Lytechinus pictus: one gene and its partner. The protein of the gene in region 1 purifies or fractionates together with the protein of each later gene. This does not show direct contact. Links are inferred from orthologs where the notes say so. Each region holds a gene or a part of one and is shown on either strand. Other genes may lie near its edges.

Region 1 (11,229 bases):
AGCTTTTTTTTTTTTTTTATTCTTTATTTTTTTTCTCAAAAGAGAAACTCCTTCACTCTTGCTCTAAATTTATATATGAATTAAATTTCATTAAAATTAAAATTAAATGACAATATTGAAGTTCTCCATTGTTTCCCCCACCCTTTCTCTAACCCTGTTTTTCCACCTCAGCTATATGTGTTTCTTGCCAAGTTCAAATGTACACATTAGGGCATGGAATTTGAGTAAGATTAGGCCGAACTATATGAAGTTATCTTTTTTTTTTTTATCGCGCAACTTCTGGTCGGGTCGGCTCCAGGCGGGTAAAATCAATTTCTGCCGTCACCTCCATAAAGTCAACTTTTCCCGCTTTTCAGCTCATTACTAAACAACCATAATTTTGGGGCAAACAGGTTCCTAATTTAAAAAGAGGAAGGTATAAAATTCGTGTCGTATTAAATAAAAAGTACAATATTTTTATCGAATTCTATTAAACTTCATGTCATTTCCCTGCACATTCATCTCCTGTCCTGTTTTGCGCCCTCAGTTTGAAATTTTGAATGACACTTGAGATGGTTCAAAATGAAGCGCTTCAGGATAAGTCAAAGAAATTAGGCATCCTTTTTTATATAATTTCAATAAATCACAGAAGTTTCAACTTTTTGCGCACTATTTTCCTTGTAATGAAGTTCAATAATCTTATCAAATCAATTGAATTAGAGCCGATGGGCTTGATGGGGTATTAGAGATATCTGCATTTGATGAAACGTCCGCCCTTTGAAATTTCAGAGTTTCATTGCTCTGCGCGGGGAGCAATATCTTCCTCCCGGCATATACACTTCTTCTCCTCTGTTTTGCGAGTTAAAGATATGCACTGTCGCTAAATTGTAATCAAATCTGATCTTTCCAAGGGAAGTATTCAATGTATCTTTGAGAATACCCTTTTCTCGGGACCCTTTTCATGGCGAAAAAATTGATGACACGCTTTAGCTTCCGTGCTTCGCGCGGGTTTATTATTATTTTAATTTCCTCCATTGTATTCATTTTTTGTGCGTTCACAATCACTTTTAAAAACAAGGTTCAAAATCACAATATAGTCAACTGAATTGGAGCTGATATAGTTACTAGAGACAAGAGAGACGGCTCCTTTTTATTTTAATTTATGAAACACCAAAAGCTTCGCGCTTTGCACGGGAGGGGGAAACTCCCCCTCCCTGCACCCACCCCCTAGAGAGCGCGCGAATTGTTGGCACGCTTCGCGTGCATTTACCGCCCCCTCCAAAATGAAATCCTGGCTACGCGGTTGTTTCACACAGGCCCCCAAATCCAGTTTATTTTTGCTTTCTCTCCTTGCTGTTTTAGCACAACATAACAGAAGAAAGGTACTATAAGAAATTCTTATTTGCAATCAAAACAAAAGCAAAATGAAACAAAAAAGAGAAGAAAAAGAAAAATAGAAATGAAAAAAAAGAGGAAAAAATTAAAGAGGAAAAAAAAGACGAGAAAAGAAAAGAACAAGAACAAGAAAAGGAAAAAAAGCATAAGAAAATAAAAGAAAACAGAAAAAAGAAAAGAAAATAGGTTAAAAAAAGAAAAAAAGGAAGAAAAAACAGAAAAAGAGGAAGGAGAAAAAAATGAAGAGAAAAAACAAATCAAAAGGAGATAAAAAATGTGAAGGAAAAAAAAGAGAAAGTAAAATAGAAAAAAAAGGATGAAGGGAAAATTTTTTCCATCCTCACAAAGAAGGCTCCAAATCAAAGCAATGGCAAAATATTCATTTTCTGACTGGTTGCCAACCCAACACAAGACAGAAGAAGCTCTAAAAAAGAAAGGATCACCAGTCGTTCTTCTAAATTAGCTCTTAACTTACGATCAGCTTTATGTAACGGCCCCCTGAAAGCATAGAATTTTAAGCACTTTGGGGTTTCAACTTCTCATCAGAGTAGGCCCTACTAAAATTGTATGAGCGGGAGCTGACGTTTCTTTACCAGGGGTGGATCCAACTTTCACTTCTAGGGTTGCTGGGGTGGAAAAATATTTTCATCTTTATGTTTTCCCGATCGGATATTCTAAGCACTTTTTAAAACCGTAAACATGATGGGTATACGTATATCTAAACAATTGATGCGAGCAGGGGCGGAAATCTCTCCCAAAAGGTAGGGGGGACACAGGGGCGGATCCAGCCTTCGCCAATAGGCCGGGGGGGGGGGCGGAAATTTGTTTCAGCCATATTTTCCCCGATCGGCAGCTCGAAGATGATTTTTGTTTGTTTCTTTGAAGGGGTAGTCCTCATTAGTCACTTCTTAGCTTTATTCTTATAAATTAATATATAATATCATAATCCTTATTTATATGATGCGAGCGCGAAGCGCGAGCAATTTTTTTTGGAAATTTTATGTATTTTTTCCTAAAATTTGAACTGATTCTGGGCAATGTTTGTTATCCTGAAAAAGATGTGTATGCAACTTAATAATTACTACAAACGCAAAGTGCGAGCAGAAATGAACTGATGGAAAAGATGGCCTGTTAAAGTAGCATTTAACAATCAAATAATGCGAGCGCGAAGCGCGAGCTGAATTTTTTTGACATTTTCACCTAAAGAATGGAAATTCTAAGCGCTTTTTGTAAACCCAAGCAGAATAGGTGTATAAGTAAACAATTAATGCGAGCGCGAAGCGCGTGCAGAAAAATTTCGAAATTTAGTTCTATAATATTTACTGAACGAGACACTATTCATGTTTTGTAAATCCTGAAAAGGATGAGTATTAATAATGCGAGCGCAAAGCACGAGCAGAAAATTTTAATATACGTTTTGAACTGGTACCTGTTGAAAATTTTGATATTGTGATCTGAAACTGGATAATGATTTAAATTAGAGAACAAGTTGAGTATCTGAATAAATGCGCGATCGTGTTTCATATTTAAACCTAGAATCTAGGCATTCTAAATACAACTTCAATCATGAAAATCATTAACCTTTGATATTCCGATCTGAAAAAAGAGTCAATTTCAGCTTTATATTTCAAGCACTTTGTAGAAAACTTGTAAGGTGGATATGGATCGCATTTAAAAAAGAGCTGATATTATTATTACTTTGAGTTTTGACATAGGACCGGGACATCCTTACGACATGTCATCATATGAAAATGATCTTCCTATTCCTCTTGCTAAGCGCGAGATGAAACAAAAGGGACAATTTAATTATTAAATTAATATCATATTTATTAATGCCTAATGAGGACGTGAAATCTGATGATATCATGGCATAAAAACTGAACATTTAACTTTTGTGATTATGAATAGGATGCATCAGTTATTATATTTTTTACCATTAATGCGAGCGCAAATCGCGAGCTAAAATTTTTGATAAACTGTCATGAAAAGGGGATTTTAAGTAGTTTTTGTATAATCAATATTGAAACATTTATATAACTCGCCAATCAAAATGCGAGCGTGCAGCGCGCTAGCTGATACGTCTTGACAATCAGACCTGAAAAGTGATATTTTGAAAACTTTACGGAATACACGAAAATAATAGGTACCTGATAAATCAAAATTTGCGATCGCGCAGCGCAAGCAGCAAATGTTAACATTCGGACCATAAAACTGACATTTTTACAGAGCACTTTTTAAAAACCAATTTGTAAATTACACAAAATAATGAAAGTTCGATTTCCGAGGTGAAATATGTTTTGTATATTGACTTCCAAACTTGATATTCGAATTCCATATTGAACAAGATATGTAAATCATCTAACATGCAATGCGAGCGCGAAGCGCGAACGAAAATTTTATATAGTGGCACGAAAGATTCTTTTTATTTTCCAAGTCTTCCCCTCATCTTATTTTATGCACTCGTCGTCCTTCTCTTCTTTTTCTCCTCTCTTTTCCCTCCTTTTTCTCCTTTTTCCTTCTTTCTTTCCCTTTTTTCTTTTATTGCTCCGCCAAGAGGGGGGGGGGGGGGGGGCGGACCCCTCGGCCCCTGGATCCGCCTATGGGGACAAGGGGCGGGAAATTTGACAAGCAAAAAAAAAGGTTATCATCGCCAAAGTAAGGTCATCTCGTCCCAAAATACATGTTTTATTTCGATTTAGAATGATGTATTTCTTGCCATCATAAAAGACCAAAAATAGTAGGGGGGCATTTGATATTGTGTCCCCCCTACTATTTTGAGTAGGGGGGACACGTCCCCCTGTCCCCCTTGGATTTCCGCCCATGGATGCGAGTGCGAAATTCGGAAAATCTGTAAGAATATTTGGTAATCAAGTACTGGATGGGTATCTATATCAACATAATATGCAAGCGCAAAGCGCGAGCTGAGAATTTTTGAATTTCCGACCCAAAACTGGACATTCTAAGCACTTTTTGTAACCATGAACAGAATGGGTATCTTTATTCATGCGAGCGTGAAGCGTGAGCTGAAATTTTTTTTTTTCTGACCTAAAATTTTGACATTATTTCTAAGCACTATTGGTAATCATGAACAGGATGAGTATCTAACAAAACATTTTATGTGAGCGCGAAGCGCGAGCTGAAATTATTTTATTTTTTCGACCAAAGTTGGACATTCTTAGCACTTATCTAACCATTAACAGGATCTTAGGGTTTTTAATTTCCGACCCCAAACTGGACATTTTAAGCACTTTTTGTAACCATGAACAGGATGGGTTATTTTTATAATTGATGGGAGCGTGAAGCGCGAACAGGAAATTTTTTATATTCTGACCTAAAATTTTGACATTTTAAGCACTATTGGTAATCATGAACAGGATGGGTATCTAACAAATCATATTATGCGAGCGCAAAGCGCGAGTTTAGAATTTTCAAACTTTTCTGATCCAAAACTGGACATTCTAAGCACTTTTTGTAACCACGAACAGGATGAGTATCTTTATTCATGCGAGCGTGAAGCGCGAGCTGAAAATGTTGGATATTCTGACCTAAAATTTTGACATTCTAAGCACTATTGGTAATCATGAACGGGATAAGTATCTAACAAAGCATTTTATGCGAGCGCGAAGCGCGAGGTAATTTTTTTTAAATTGTTTAATGTTTCGACCTAAGTTGGACATTTTAAGCACTTATCTAACCTTTAACAAGATCGATCGTCACCTTGATACAAACACAAAGAAAGAGATGAAAATTTTTGATATTCTGACCTAAAATTTGAACTTTCTAAGCACTTTTGAATTTGGTGAATTTGGCGCCCCATGACAAACATCAAATTGTGCCCCAAAGGTCGAATATGAATTTGGCGCCCTCTCCCTAGGTTAAGCATGAATTTGGCGCATCAGGACAAACATCAAATTGGTGCTCCTATTCAGCGCCCCTATATAGGTCGAACATCAATTCGGCGCCCCACTTTGTCGAACATAAATTCGGCGCGCCCCTAGGTCGGAATCAATTCAGCGCCCCCTATGTCGAACACCAATTCGGCGGCCCTAGATAGAATATCAATTCGGCGCACCTAGGCGCAACATCAATTCGGCGCCCCCCCCCCTACGTAGAATATCAATTCGACGCCCCTATGTTGAACATAAATTCGGCGCCCCTAGGTAGAACATCAATTCGGCGCCCCCTATATATCAAACTCCAATTTGGCGCCCCTATAGTAGAACATCAATTCGGCGTTCCTATAGGTCGAACATAAATTCGGCGCCCCTAGCAGAACATCGATTCGGCTCCTCCCTAGTTTAAAGATCAATCATCGGCGCCCCTTATGTCGAACATCAACTCGGCGCCCCTAAGTAAAAAATAATTCGGCGCCCCCAATGTCGGATATAAATTCAGCGCCCCCTGGGTTGAAGATAAATTCGGCGCCCCTATGCCGAACATAAATTCGGCGCCCCCTTGGTCGAACATCAATTCGGCACCCCTAAGTAAAACAACGATTCGGCGCGCCCCCCCCCCCCTATGTAGAACATCAATTTGGCGCCCCTTCCTTTTTTTTTCTTCTCCCTTTCTTCCCCCTTTTTTCTTTCTCTTCTTTCCCTACTTTTTTCCTTTCTTTTCTTGATATGGGGCAGCTGTTCGTTTATGACGTCACATATCCAAAACTTGAAATTCTAATTACTTTCTTAATCTTTAATGGATTTTCTTCGAACCTTCACCAATATTTTTATCTTTTTCATCTTTAAATAACCTTAAAAACGGACATACTGGAGCTTTTGCAGTACCAAACACTTATTATTATTTTTTTCTGCTATTTTTACAACAAAGTTTTCGCCAGGGTGATCGAACTTCCCCTTTAAGAATTCCATTAATTGGTCTCTTTAAGTGGTCTGGCATGATTTTTTTATTAAGGGGGGGGGGGGTAAATACTTTGCAGTATATGATGAATTTTAATAATTTAGAATTTAGAAATACAAAGGGATAATATTAACTTTCGCAGGAAAAAATAATAATTATGATGAAAACGAAATGTTGCATAGACGGCAACTGAAAAAAATAGATATCGTCAAGTGAAAGTGGGTCATTCAATCATAACAAATAGAATATAATAAAAAAACACATTTTGAACTTTTTAATGCAGGCTTGAAGTTTGTATCATAAGGAAAATGCGATCGAGAGGAGATAAGAAGGGGGGGGGGTCATCGCTTGATCATGGCCCCTCGGGTCTCATGGCCCGGGCTCATGGCCGCGTTGCACCAAGAAGGAAGGGGGGTAATGGAGTCTTAAAAGAGAATCTTACATGAATTAACAAGGGATCGCTATGGGAAAATTTGACATTTTACCATTTTGTCTTGCTCTCTTATCTGATTATTTTGCACCCCCCCCCCCCGATTCCGATCCTTGTCTCAACAGCGGAAAAAAGGGAAAATAGAATAATAGGATACCATGATGCTTTTTCTTCAGTCATATTAGTGTCTTTGCTCAGTCAGTTTATCTCGTGCGAGCTAGCTGCGCGCGTGTATGTTGTCTATATTTTATGCATGGTAGATGAGTACTAGCTAGCGCTACAGTACATGTACCGTATACGATACACACACAACAACTTAAGCCAATCTCAGACTCTCCAATTTTCGGAGTTGTTTTAGGGTTTGTTTAACAGCTTTCCTGCGTCGACGAAATCGGGTTTGATTTCATCATGGAGCCAGGCCCGACTAGTGGGAATCAGCTAAACAGGCTACTTAGCGGTGGAGATGCCTCACAAATTTTAAAGAACATGTTGAATGTTGGAAAACCAAATCAGTCGAACAACGGGGGTGTTGGATCTGGATCCGGAGCATCGCCACAAAATGTGTCGGGTATGTATGAAACGTATGGATCAGGGAATGAAGCCTTGGGGAGAAGGAGGAGCGAGCTGTGCTCCCAAAATGGTCTTGAACACTAAACATGAACATCTTTAATAAATGGACAAAACGTTTTAGTCGATATTGACTATTGTTTCAAACTTTCATGTAGAAAGAAAGTAGAAATGTATTGTGCAAAGACAAAGTTCTAACTTCTACTTCTAACCCGGGGGGGGGGGGGGGGGGGGTTGCCAGGCGGCTTCTAGAGAGTAAAAATCATTTACTAACGTGATGTTACTCTCATACGAAGCCAGGCAGTCCTCCCCATTCATCTGCGTGTACCGCAAAAAACCCTGAAGCTTTCGCCCCCGAGATTACTACTTTCCTTCTAAAAGATCTAGCTCTAATTCATGTAAATGGGATAAAACTTCATTTCCAACATTTCTACGCTCTCGTTGTTATTTTTAAAACAAGAATTCATCAAAAAAATGAAAAAATATTGTGAAAAGATGGAAGAGACTTGCCCGATGTTTACGCCGCCATCTTGTTTCTCATTGTACTTCCCCAACGCGAGCGTCGCGTAACGTTGGGGAAGTACAATAAGAAACAAGATGGCGGCTCAGGTTTAGGTCAAGACTATGTGCACTTTAATATTCATTGAATTTGCTTTGTGCAACAGAATTGATACCCCTCGAATTAATGAAAGATTACATAGATTAGTCTACTCTCCAGTCTCCACGGTGTTCCACCATGGCATGCATCTAAGAATTATAATTATTCTTTTCTAAGGAATTAAACGTTCTAACGTCAGTGAACCAGCTGAATGAAGCACTTGTAATCGTATACAGAAAGTCTGAACAGGCTTTGTATCAAACCGATCCTGGAAAGAATTTCTGATGGAATTCAGCCTTATAAGTTCAGTGATTCTTTTTTTAATTCCTCTTTTATAATTTTTACATATTTTTTGTTCTGAAGTGCCATTGCTATAGTATGGATAGATATGAACAAATTGTTGATGTTGGAGAGCAATAAGCCTAGTATGTGCTAGTAGTTCATGTGAATGATCAGAATAGAAGAACTGCCAATAACCCTTTTACTCTTATATTTCCTTAATAACTGTCCTCCAAAAACACTTTTTGATGTTGACATTAAAGGGGAATCCAACCCAAATAAAAACTTGTTTTTATAAGAAAAAGAAATATCAGACAAGTTGATAGGTGAAAGTTTGAACAATATCGGACAAACAACAAGAAAGTTATGAATTTTTAAAAGTTGTAAATATTGGTAATCACTATACTCATGGAGACTTCAAATTGGCCGCATATGTGATGTCACAGTGATGTAAGGCAAGGACTACTCTTCCATGTATTCCACTACACATTATGGCTAAAATGTCATTTTTCCCAAAATTCTTATTTTCAAATTATATTTTTCTTTCATGAGGACATTAAACAATATATTACCTGGGTTATATTTAGATTACTGCCCCAGGGGAATGGGTACTTAGGAGAAAACCACAAATCCCTGATAATACTGTACATGGCCTATGGGAAAGTTGTCCTTGCCCCTTGTCATAATTTGCTTACCCAGTTGCCAATTTGAAATCTACATACTAATAGTGATCTCAATTTTAAAGCAGCTATAACTTTCTTATTTCTTGTCCGATTTCTTTCAAACTTTCACCATTCTTTTAATTAGTTTTTCTCCTTCCCAACACAACACTTAATGGCCAAGGCTGGATTCCCCTTTAAAGAAACGAGAAATTTGTTTACTATCAACAGAAACATTTTACAGGGAAAATGTTGTCTACTTAGTTGAGTAGGGGTCTAAGTGTTAACTACTTAAAGGCTACATGTACATCTTTGGTTTTGCAAGATTAACCTGGTTTTATTGACTTGATTTAAATTTATCTGAGTAAATATGAAGGATTTATGTTTTGATGATATAAAGTTGTTAAAATCTTTTTGTTTTGAATAAAAAAATTAAATTGCCTCAACAACAAAAAATGCCAACCATTTGTGCACGTTTCAATGGATGCGATTTAAAAAAATCTTAAGTTATCTAAATCACAATTTAAATCACGATTTAAATCAGCCAACCTTGTATTCAATATTACCATTTCAAGATCTTTTTTCTTTTTTCTACAAAAAATAATATTCTTTGAAAAATAAAGTTTTTAAAAGAATGAAATAACCATTTTAAAAAATACAAAAATCAGAAATGTATCTTCTGATCTTTAAATGATTATTCAGTGGAATTGGCTAACCCAATATAATTTGCAGTCCAAATTATTAACATTTTAAATGTTATTAATTTGGATTGCAATTTTTCTTTTTAACTTCCCAATTTTGGGGATGTGGTTTATTCTCGGCTGTGATTTATTTTCCGGAAAATACGGTACCAAAAATACATATAAAATTATATATTTTCATTAGATTCACATTAAACTACAACCATAAACACCGAGATATCTAGATCTATAGAATATTGATATAGATTGTAGGAGCTCTGGAGAACAATGTGCAAAGACAAAATATTATAGTTACCCAACAAAGTATTAGGAATCTGCGCACCACATTAATATTCACATAATCAAATCATTCTACTCTTTGTGTCTCCAGAATAGCCCTTTTAGCTAGTAATATGCACATTAACCCTCAAAATTGTAAGATTCTTACCAAGAATGTATACATACGTGTAAATATGATGCAAAACAGGGTTAGAAAAAAAGACTAGAGCGGAGGTAAATATTTAGAGCACATGAATGATGGATCTGACATCAATTGGTCTAGTGGTAAAAGTTAAAAATTTAATCCTTATTTTGTGTGAATTTTGGTTTAGTGCCATATCTGTGGGAAATTATTACAGGTGCGACACCTCAGTGACTTACTCTTTTAAGAAGGTGACATTCATCAAGTCATGTTTGAGTGGTTAAGGGGGATTTATAGTCCAAGATTGTGATAAATGGACATTTTTTATTGTACAAAACTCATTGAAAGAGGGAGCTATTCCTAATTCTGACCAGACCCTTACATTTTGTAATGAAAACTCTAACTTGATTCAAGAATTTTCCAGTGTACTTTCTCTATCCCATAAATAGTTTTGCAAGTCTAGATGGCTGCTAAAGTGCTTTTTGAAAATAAAAATGAATGCCGTATGCTCTTACATTGTCAAGTGACTCTGTAAAGAAATGGTATACTTTCAAAACAGGTAAATTTTTGGATTAACTTTCAAACTCCCACTTTGAATTTAATTGAATTACTATCTATTCCTTCTGTTTTCTCCCTTTCATTTCCCTCCATTGTTGTACAGATTTGTCATCTCAAGCCAACAGGTAAGTGTGTAGTGCTATGTATGTTTTTATTTGTAGTTCATCAAGAAAATACATTGCGTGTATATGTATACTCCTCAATTACAAGCAAAGCACATTAAATATAAAATACATGGTTCATTTTGTCTGCACTCTGCAGAATGAGCAGTGAGTGAGCACAGAGGTGGAAATGGGTTGAAGCATTCATGAATGCTGAAATGCAGGGTTTACACAAATGGACTAATGCACTTCCTGTTATCTCGTACTGGAAGTACCAGGAATAAGGGGAATCCCCAGATAAATAATATCTGGTAGATTGCACAATACATGTATCTCACAGACATTTTTTCTGACATTGGAATGGGTACTAATGAAGTACTTGTTTCAGAACTACTTACATACATTGTAGTACGAGTTTCTGTCAATATGTTCACATGTTGACTTACACCAACATTAAATGGGCAACATAAAATCACTTATACGTATACATCATGTATCCACTGTACAATATTTGATAACAGCTAATGTACTGCATATGTCTGCATTTACACCAATGCATTCAGCTCGATTCGTTATTTGTATACAATCTGAATTTTCTTGATGTGGGTAGAATTACAGGATTTGTGGAGCTAGGTTTTCATCCTTCTAATTTTACATTTAAAAGTCATGTATAAATGTCTCATAAAATAGTGAAATCATTAATATGGA
Region 2 (10,963 bases), on another chromosome or scaffold:
AACCAGATGCTCAGAAGTTATGTTGTCGAGGCCTGGGGCTTTGTGAAGCTTGAGTTTCCTAATGGCTGTGTCAAGATCATGCGAGGTGAGAGTAAGCAAGACTTCTTCTGCACCTTCTGATTGAATGGAGGGCAGGTAAGGGGAGTGCTCAGTCATGTGTTTGGCTCCTTCGTAGTTGGTAGCAGTAGGATCTGAAGAGAGATCTTGAAAATATGATTTCCAGCCCTTGATGACATCCTTGCCCTGGAACAGGGTCTCCCTGTATACCATGAATGGGAGGTCCACTGTTGAGGGTTTGCCTGTTTTGTTTGACTTTACCAGGCTGTAGAACAAGGGGCTGTTCATGTCATTTGCCATCTCTATCTTTCCTTGCACTTTGAGTCTGTTGGAGGCTTCAGATTGTCTCAGGGCTCTCTTGAAGTCCTTTTTGGCTTCCAAATAGGATTTCCAAGTAGGGTGCCCATCTACTGGTTTACCTGCCTGTTTCCACTTCTTCCAGTGGGCTAAGGAGTGGGAGTAGGCAGATTTGACGTCCTGAGTCCACACTGGTTTGCCTTGTTTCTTGTCTTTATGGGCTTTGTGAGGGAGTCTCAAGGAGAGCTCTAGAATCTGATCTTGAAGACGACCAAAGAGCAGATCCACAGTGGCATGGTCCAGAGATAGTGAGTGTAGGTTTCGGAAGATGGTGGCTGCTTCTAGTTCCAGTGGGTTGGTGTAAAGTGAAGCAATTTCATTGCGATCACTGGGCCACAAGATGGAGTATCTCTGGATTGGTGTGAGATGGTTAGCGGTTGCCTCAGGCATGCGCTTTAGTCCAGCTGGAGACTTGGAAGTAGGGAGTTCTGCTGTGATGAGAACAGGACAATGATCGGAGGAGTTGAGGGGATGTTCTGCAATAATTTTATGTTGAGAATAGAGCCCTATATCCTGTGGGGGGATGATAAAGCCATCGATCCTGGATTTCTTAGAGCCATCATCAGACATGAAGGTATAATCACTAGGAGAGCAGCTAAGTGAAGTAAGACTGCACAAATCTTCTGAAGCAAGAAAATTCTTGAGAATGTCAGCCGTGCATTTCCTGGGAGAGGTCTGCATGGGGTCAGCATTGAAATCTCCTGCAACAATCTTAATGTGGTTACGTGTGTCCACGGAACTAAAAAATGACAAGATAGTGGACAAGCATAAATGGTATTCATTCACTTCATCATGAGAGGTACCTGAAGGAAGGTAGCAGTTAATGATGAGGAGGTTTGTTGATGTTGAAACATGCTTGGTTGAGATGGCTTGAACCCGAGGTGTGGTGCTTTTGAGATCTTTGGAATCTATGAAGAGTGCTTTGCGTAGGAAGATGGCGAGACCTCCCTTGCCTCTTCCAAATTTGGGAATGCCAGGGTAAGTCTCCTCTTCATGTGCTTTGGCTAAAGTGAGAAAATGGGAGTCTAGACGGGAGAGGGAGTGGAGCCCATGTTGGTTTGCCCAGTGCTCTTGGATGCAGGTAACATCTGAGGTGCATAAAAGGTGCTGGATGAAAGGAGTGCTACTGGTGTTGCCTCGAGAGTTGAACGTGACTACATTGATCGTGCAGGAGGTAGAGCACTCCGGCTGCTTTGAGCTAGATGGATTATTTGATGGTGAAGGACGTGTAAGTTGGACAGAACGACCTGATCCTGTGGAAAGTTTGGGTGGGAGAGAAGGTAGAGAGCTTTTGATGCGGCAAACTGGAGTGATTCTAGGAGAGATGCATGTGTCAGTGCCGAGGCTCTGCCCTGATGAAAACCCGAAGGGGTTGAGTTTGGGCGGTGCATTGATGAAGTAGGAGCTGCATGGATTGTCACTCGTTGGGCGGGAGGAGGATGTGGTGGGTTCCGCTCAGAGGCACTGCTACTGGGATGTGGCAGAGAAGTGTTTGTGGGGGGCTGTTAATATGATGAAGCAGACCTTGAGGGAGCCTGAGAGGAGGTAGGAGTAGTGGGTACTGCACTGCAAAGGGGCGGCGAGCATTTCCTGCATGAAGGAGTGGCGTAGGTGAAGGGACATTGCGTGGTGAAGTGGCTGATAGAGGGTTGGTAGGAGACAGGACAAAGCATTCACTACATTGGGAGGTAATGGAGTTGTCCAACCTGGTAAGAGGAGTTTTTTGGCCTGGGGTAATCGAGCCTCTTTGACTGTTTTTTGAAGGATTCCTTGACCAGCTGGTAGAGTGTGTAAGAGGACTGGTAGGCTCAAAGAGATCAGGACTATGAGTGTCTGCGGTATTGGTAGAAGCACGACTCTGTATGGGTGCCATTTGCGTTTGAGCTGCTGAAGTAGGACTCTTCTGAATTCTGATGTCCATAAGAGGTGGGATTTGGCAAGGTGTTGTAGGGTGATCAAGTCTGGGAATGAAAGTGGTTTTGGGTGCAAAGGTATCTGCATTCTGCCTAGGTGGCATGACATCTTTGGGTCTGTTGCTCTGGGGATGGGGACTTCCTGGGCTAGTAGAAGACTTATTCTGCTCTCTCGAAGGAGAGATTTTAGATCTGTTGCTCCGGGTAGCCGTGACTCCTTGTCCAGTGCAAGATTTAGTCTGTCTTCTATTGGGGGAGTCTCTAAATCTGTTGCTCCGGGCAGGAGTGACTCCTGGTGCATTGGAGATCTTATTCTCTCGTCTCTGGGGAGAATATCTGGTACTGTTGCCCCGGTTGGTACGGTCATTCAGTCCAGTAGAGGTCTTATTCTGTCCTCTCAGGGGGGAGGAATTGGTCGCCGAGTAAGTTTGGGCATGGATTGAGATTACAGGGGAGGCAGACTTAGGTACAAGACGCTTCTTGGGCGAGTAAGATACATCGACTTTGGTAGTAGAGGTTGGAGTCTGACTTTTAGAAGAAGAATCTCTAGGGTCCAATGGCTTAGGATGGCTTTGGAAAGCTCTCCTTTGAGAAGGAGAGTCAGCTGGCTTGATATGGCTTCCACGGTTAGGATCACTAGGAAAGGGTCCAAGATGGTTTGTCTTGAGGAGATCCTGATCAGTTTTCTTGAAGTAGCCAGGATCATCCTTCTTCTGTCTGTGTGTCTCAGCTGACATTTGGCCTGACTTTCTATGTGTGTGTTGTGAGTAATTAGATGCAGGATGAGGCTTAACAGAATTGCCATGTTCCTCCTCTGTTCCAGCAAAGGAAGCATGTAGCGAGTCATTCAGGTGGTCTGAAAGAATGCTAAAGCGATTCGATGTGGAGACAGGGGTTCCTTGGCGTGCAACAGAAACTTTGTGAGTGGTGGAAGTTTCCAGGTGAGAATAAGGAGGGATATGGTGTGTCACCTTGTTCACCTTGCTATGTCCAGTAGCACGCTTGTCCTCTAGAAGATACGGAAGTTCATTCTCATCAATGTCATGGTTCAGGCAGATAGCAACAAGATGATCATTTGAGGATAAGAGCGATACAATTTCTTTCTCCTTCCCGTTGAGCTCTGATGTTAGGTCTGCTATTGTTTTTTGTGCCTTCTTCTTGTGATTGGAATCTGCTGAACGGAGCTTTTTGAGAGACTCAATTTCGTACCTGGCTTGTTGTAAGTTGGATACCACTTGTTCATACTGCACAAGGAGGACATCTTTTGATAAGATGATGTTATCGAGTTTATCCTTGGTGTCCCTTAGCTTCTTGGAGAGGCTGGTACATTTGCAATCAGATGGAATTGGTAACATATCCTCAGGAGGGTCACAAGCAGCATCCTGTTTAGAGTGGTTTAGTGGATTGAGTTGGGTATTCTGGCTAGTAGGGAGACTGGTTTGAGATGCCCTCGAGATTTTCAGATCTTGCGGGATAATGGCGAGAGTAGTTTGAGTGGCCTTGGGATGCTGTCTCAGGGACTGGGTCTGAGTAGATATAGAAGTAGACTCAGAGCGGGAGGATGGGTTGAAGTCAGTAACATCTGTCATTCAATTAAATTGTTATCTAGGCATATACCACTTTTTAATTTTTATTTAGAAAAAATATATTTTTATTTTGTTACATTTTTGTGTTTTTCATGTTATGCTTAAAATTTACAACAAAAATCATCAAATCATACACAAAATTAAGATCAAAATCTGAGTAAAAAATATCTACATGTAGGCCTATGCAATGCTTGGTAACATAAATAAACAAATATTTATACATTTAGAGATTTAGAACATGTACATGTATATAATTAAAATGTTTAAGGGCATGTTTATGCTTCCACTTTTTCAGGCCAGACTCAGCATTTTCATACGTGATTAGTCCAAAACACTGTTGCATCCATTCTTACTTTCATTTAAACAACGTTTCAGAACGCTGATCGTAAACTTACGAAAAGGTGCGTTTCTAAACATTTGACCAGAATCAGGGTTTCTGGGGAAGTATAAACAGGATCACGATCGTAAACGTGTTTAAATGACCTGATTTGGTACATGCTTCCGGTGAGATGAAAATCTGCGGGCTAATACAGTTGCATGGTTCTATTACAGGGATTTACCTCCATGGAATTACCTCTCAACTTCCTGGTTTTAATAATGACCAATGTACATTTGCATGTGTGAATATTAAATTAAGGAAGTACTATCACTATCACAATGAATGTTGAGGGATTAAAAAAAAAGGAACATGAGTTATAAGGAGTCATCGCTGAGCCAGAAGCCCTGCAGTAGCATAAACAAATTGATGTCTTATTATTTTCTTATGTATACATATTTTATTTTGTCTTGCTATTATCCTCACCATGGTAGAAATTCTATGGCTACATGTATGTCAAGTAGCTCCAAGATCCGAAATTGTTCGAAGTTAAAATAATAGTCGACCATAACAACACTCAGGAACAAAAGTTTCAAAAAAGGGCGCGCCCAATTTGACCTCGCTTTCCTGCTCACCAAAAATTACGGTGCGAAACCAGCTGCAGATTGCAATTTCGCCTCTGAAAAAAAAAGGCCTACGTGCAGCCAGCACTGCACTAGCAGCTGCATGAGTTGGTAGCGAATCGGCATGCAAGTTGAATTGTCAGACTCATCATCATAGACGTGATACCCCTAATTTACCTCCATCCACGTCACTAGAGCTAGAAACTTCATCATCATTCTCTTCATCTTCAAAATCATCAATTTGAAAATCCAAAATCTAAATAAACTTCTGGGTTTTCTTTCATTTCGTGATCGAAGTATTCAGTGACAGTGTGGAGAAAACGTACCCTCGCAACAGGTTTTGCATGCAAGTGGAGCTTTACGTGGGAGAGCCAATCACGTCTCTCGTACACTTATACACGTCATCAAAAAAACCCAATTTTGCGGACGTAATTGAGCGTGTTTGAAGCATTTAGAGAGAGAACTTTAAACTATCAATTAAGTGAGTTCCATAGGTCTCCATGATAAATGATGTACACCATCGTGTTCTTCCTTTTTTCCCCTTTAATTTGATATATAATTCTTCATTTTTATGATTTTCAATATATTTCTACTTTAAAAATGAATTAATTCGTGGCAAGTTGGGAATAGAAAATTGGATGAAAGAATAACAATAAAGATATATATTTGTGTCTGACTATGAAATATGAAATGGTCTGGATCATTATGAATAATAGCAATGTAATATCAATGTTATAGAGGAATAAGGGAATTTTATATTAAAATAACAGCTAGAAGTAAGGGTTATAATACACAAAAACTTTGGATTACAAAGATTACCCGGCAATACATGTATCTATATTTTCCAAATATCACATTTGAAACTACAAAGTAATGCAGTATTTCTATTCAATTACTTTGATATTTTCTAGATTTTCTTGGCCAGACTACAAGAGCTTGAATTCATTTAGAGTGTTCCCTGTCGATCGCTACTTGGAAGAAGGTATGGCTAGTGAAAGCTTCATTGGGAACTATCTGTCCTTAGACTGCGGGCCGGTCCTAGGGACATTCCAAGGTGAAGTTTCTTCTGTGTGCAAGAAAGGACAAACTATCTCTCTTAAGAATGCATTCAGGAATGGAGTCAAGTATGGTGTTCCTGAAGTAACAATGAGGTTTGTTGTAAGACCTTAAAGAAAAATAAAAATTTCTGTCTCTACTTTATTTTAAATGACTTTGAACATTTTGAAGAGACATGGCTTGCAGTTTTCATTAATTTGTGAAATTTTGAAATAGTTATTTCCATTGATTCACTTAACTTATAAATATAAGTTGATGAAAAAAAAACATAACTTGATATCATTTGACATGAGTGTGTTGAACTTTATATTCATGAAATCATATTCTATTCTAAAGCATTTATGGAGTAAACTGGTAAATCTAAAGATTATTCATTTATAAGATTGAATTCATTATCAATCAAAACTTACGTGTACTTCATAAAGCACTTGTGTGAAAATGTGATCTAAAATTGTATATTCAATAGTAAAATTCAGTATCAAATGCAGGAATGAAAAGAAATCATGTTCAGGCTTTAAATATTTATTTTCTTTTTGGTATAATACCGCTTCTCAACCATTTGATGAAATTCCAACAGTTCATAAGCATACTGATTGATACATTAATCCATTCTAAATGGTCCTTTACATTAATTAATCCATTCTAAAATGGTCCTTTGATCTTATGGGAGGTAATAACATTACATAGAAAGGATGCTTTTAATTTAGACGAATTTAGACGAAGAATCAACATGTAAAATGATATAATGGGTACTCCCAGTACGCATTTGCGAGGTTTGTATAAGAATGATATATAAGAATGATTATAAACACTCTTATTTCAGAGCTTCAGACATCAAAGATCTGAAGATCCTGAAAACAAGTGCTGATTTGAAGGCAGAGGCAGAGAAAAATAGAGCGATCATCAAAGCAGTCAGCTGTAAATCAAAGTCTGAAGCAGTAAATGGAGACGCTATCTCTAATAACAAAGGTACATACATTGTACATAGTTATTTTTAAAATCCTATTATGTATAGAAAATGTACATGTATATGAGTTTTTTTTACAGTATTATCTGTTTTGAATTCAGTTGTGGGGTACATGTAAGAATTTATATGAAGTTTGAAGCTTAGAATGCGGTCTAGAAGATTTTTTTGGTTCATGGATTAAGGTTGATTGTTTTACATGAATTCAGTTTATCTTGCCAAAATGATCATATAATGGTTACTTATACAAAAGCCTTGATTTTCATTGACTATTGAATGATATTTGTTCTCATTGTCCAGATTGTGGACTTATTCTAAAAACTTGTAGGATGCTCAAATGTTATATATTGATATGATGAACTGTCAAAAAATATTTGCTTCTGCTAACATGTTTATGACTAAAATGGCAAATAAATTATTATTAATGAGATATGATTTAATGAGATAATGTTAAAAGTGATATTCGTCTGATCATTCCGATTGATGGTATGTTTTTTTTTTAAGTATTGGGAAAGAATTGAAAAGGAGTTTACCACAATATAAAAACTGTCTGTTCAATTTACAGACACATCTACCAACAAGCTGAATGGGGAGCTGAGTAAACCCAGTCTGACTGCAGTAAGGAGATCAGGAAATTCAGAAAGAGCTCACAGCAAATCACCCCACAGAAAAACCCCTGCAGGAACGTACAAAGAATCCAGTACAGAAGGTGGACAGAAAAACAAACATCAGAACCATCTCAATCACAGCCAGCGTTCTGCCTTTCACTCACCAAACCGCAATGAAACCACAGGAACAGACTCCCAGGAGAAAGGGAGGGTTGGGTTCAAAGCAAAGCGCTCTGCGTCGTTTTCGATGCCCCAAGGGAAAGGGGATGATAGTGGCAGACCTGGTAGACCAGGGTTTCAGAGGGTCCATAGCGTGGATGGACTTAGTAGATCAGGTGGGAATGAAAATGCAGGTAGAGATGAGGAAGAATACAGGCAAGGAGGAGACAAAGGAAGGAGAAGAACCTATTCTGGTAAGACTACATCTTTTCTCTTGTTGGGCGATACCATGCCAGGAATTTCCTTGTTTGTTTTGATGCCAATGGCGTCTTACTGGTTTAGAGACCAGGCAACTTGTACACATTAAAAACAAATAATAAAGTCATAGATATTTATGTTTCCCCAACAGATAATTTATTTAAATAATGAACAATTTTTACCTCTGGATCTCAATCAGTGATTTGTTTTCATGTCCTACACTGTAGTTTGCTGATAAAGTCGGCATCCATAGTATGCTCTTATTTGCTGCTGAAGGTGCTTTGTAATCTCAATCATGCAATCAACATGACGATTTAATGCACAGTGATCCCAAAAGTGTTGCATAAATCAATAGTCAGGAATGCCAGTTTTCTGTCTCTTTCAAATTTAACATAAGTGCTATGTGTTTTCCATTTCTCCCTTTGATCCCACCACAGATTAGCTGGAAAATAAAATACAAAAAATATGCTCAGATTGCCAGAGAGCATCTATAACCCTAGAGCTGGATCCTGGCTGTAGGGACTTTGCGTGCATAATTTTCCATCTGAAAAAAAATTAGGCCCTGGAGTCATATGTCACTGGCATCCCTGATTAGTAAATCTCCTTTGAAAGTCATTTTAGTGTGTGCATTGCAAGTATGATACTAATTGCATCACTTGATATGTTGCTCTTTGATATAGGGAACCACGAGAGCAACCACACACGATCATCGCCTGTCAAGATCAGTGGAGGTAATACCCGCAAGCACAACCGAGGAGGATTCAACTCACGCAACGCTGAATGCTTCAGTGCCCCTGTGGAAAGCTTCCTCAACGATGATTTTGACTTTGATTCAAACTTTGCCTTGTTTGACAAGGAGAACTTTTATGAGGAGTTGGACGCCATGGGGGATAATCGGCCTAAGAGACCAGGACCAAGGAATCTTCGCTTTGATGAGAACATTTTAGAGAGGAGGGAATCCGAAGAGGGGAAAAGGATCACATGTCCTGACCCAACTGGCAAGTGGTATCATACAGGTAAGAGAAAGACAAAATCCATGCAATATGCTATTGATTGCTCTTAGGTTACAATAACATTTATTCAAAAGAAGATAAATTAATTGGTTTGGAGAAACAAAGTATAGAGATCCTGCAACAAGAGCAGTGGCAAGTCTATAAATGGATGAAAATAATAGACTGTATTAGAATTCGTAGTGATACATTATAGCCTTTGGTAAAAGATCAGTAATGTGACTTATACTCCAGTATCATCCAACGTTCCACTATTACGAAAGTGAAGGGGTCATTGAATGTTTTTTTTTCAACCATAGAATTCAAATATGGCATTTTCAGCCATTAGAATTCAAATTTGGTATATATTTACGGCTTTTCTCAATTTGTGTGCAACTCCGTGTAAATCGTCATTTGTATCCTTCTTTTTTGCAGATACAGACATGCAGATTCCCGGGATATCACCTGAGTTAAAGGCCAGACTAATGTCATCAGCCACGAAGGTTGGCCATACTGTAGAGAGAAGACTTGAATCAGTTGGACTGTGTGCGGCTCAGGTGGCACTACAGCTACTTGATAAACAAAGACGGTAAAACTTAGTTCCGTTCTTACCTGAATCACAATGCTAGTTTTGTCTGTCCCACTGGATGTGAAGGCAATAGCAATGGATCCACTATCCATCCATTGTCCATCACAAATGTTAAAGTTTACCTGCAAGACTCTCTTGTCAGTCACTTGTAATGCAAATATGTTGTCCTTGAATAATTCACACCGCTTTTCACGACACCTTGCTTTACAAAGGTTGTGTGATATACACTCTAGCTTTGTTGCATGCAGGATTTATTCATTTGGGATTCCACAATGGCTCCTCAGATCCCCTGTTGTTTTGTCGAGTTAAATTGGTTGATTTGAAGAGAAATATGCAAGGTATAGTTTTTGTTGTATCGCATCACAATTTGCTCTACATGTTTAAAAGACTGCTATACAAAATACTGTTGTGAAGCAGATTTTTACATAAGACTGTTACAGAACTTAGTTCAGAGCTTTTCTCCTATGACCAAAATAGCCAATCAAATTTACCAAGCAAATTTATTCCCTGAAATTGATTAACATGTCTCTAAAAGCCAGGTATAAATAACTTGAAGCAACTTGTAAATAATCAGAAACATCCATATCCTGCTTGATTTTGGATTATTACCTGTCTCTCTTTTCCCATCATCTCAGAATACATAGCAAGAAGAGAGCCACGGAACCATCAGTGGTAGTCCTTTGTGGTCCCCACCTTGAAGGTGCCCAGGGGGTAAGCTGCGCCCGTCATCTTACCTATCATGGGTGTACAGTCACCCTCTTTGTACCCAACTTTGTCAAGATGCTGGAAGAACTAAGGCAGGAGATGGACCTCTTTGATGCAACCGATGGGCTCAAACTACAGAGCTACAAAGGTACATGATGTTTTTAAACTCTACCCCCCCTTATTGCCTGCGGTATGAAGACTACCACAGTGTTTTTTGTTCTCCCATTGTGAACAAAAAAAATCATCTTGCCTCTTTTCAAAGTCGAGAATGCGAGAGGCATTTGGCATTTGTATTGTTGATGTATTATTGATGTAGAATATAAAGTAGATTATCATGTTTCAGTTATTGTTGATGAGACAAACTAATCACTTCCTCTGGGATATGAATCTTTAGATGCTCTTTCCTCGGCTCACATTGGATACTACATTGAAAAGATAGCTACATCCATATCGCCTCAAATGATAGTTTATCCTATCACTTTCAGCAATAGTTAATGTTTGCCTATTATCTCTGCGAGTATTGAAAACTCCTTTGAGTTTTTCTAATCAGATTGAAATGATAAAGATTGTTTCACTTTGAAGTTGGAAAGATATTTAAAAAACAATGTGTGAGCTTGAGTTTCTCTTCATTACATTTTAATAGGGGAAATAAAGAAAATGAGCTCTCTATTACTCTTGAAATGCCCTCAAATTCATATTTTGATTTATAATGGCTAGACCATTTGACCGGTATTTTGTATTTAGTCCTATACCTTCATTACTTGTGCAGTGTATGTGACTGCA

What was found.
Region 2: the proteins of enhancer of mRNA-decapping protein 4-like (region 1) and enhancer of mRNA-decapping protein 3-like purify together in Homo sapiens (affinity purification with mass spectrometry; 6 studies listed by BioGRID and IntAct, with this or other methods). This does not show direct contact. The link is inferred for Lytechinus pictus from reciprocal best matches to the Homo sapiens genes EDC4 and EDC3.

Annotation. Positions count from the first base shown.
Region 1 is NC_087246.1:64,500,418-64,511,646, reverse strand, and holds the start of enhancer of mRNA-decapping protein 4-like, read left to right. Parts: upstream 1-6,937; 5' UTR 6,938-7,066; coding exon 7,067-7,226; intron 7,227-10,523; coding exon 10,524-10,545; intron 10,546-11,229. UniProt on the Homo sapiens protein: In the process of mRNA degradation, seems to play a role in mRNA decapping. Component of a complex containing DCP2 and DCP1A which functions in decapping of ARE-containing mRNAs. Promotes complex formation between DCP1A and DCP2.
Region 2 is NC_087249.1:27,564,583-27,575,545, reverse strand, and holds the start of enhancer of mRNA-decapping protein 3-like, read left to right. Parts: upstream 1-5,739; 5' UTR 5,740-5,836; coding exon 5,837-6,003; intron 6,004-6,731; coding exon 6,732-6,877; intron 6,878-7,437; coding exon 7,438-7,893; intron 7,894-8,577; coding exon 8,578-8,913; intron 8,914-9,321; coding exon 9,322-9,475; intron 9,476-10,110; coding exon 10,111-10,328; intron 10,329-10,963. UniProt on the Homo sapiens protein: Binds single-stranded RNA. Involved in the process of mRNA degradation and in the positive regulation of mRNA decapping. May play a role in spermiogenesis and oogenesis.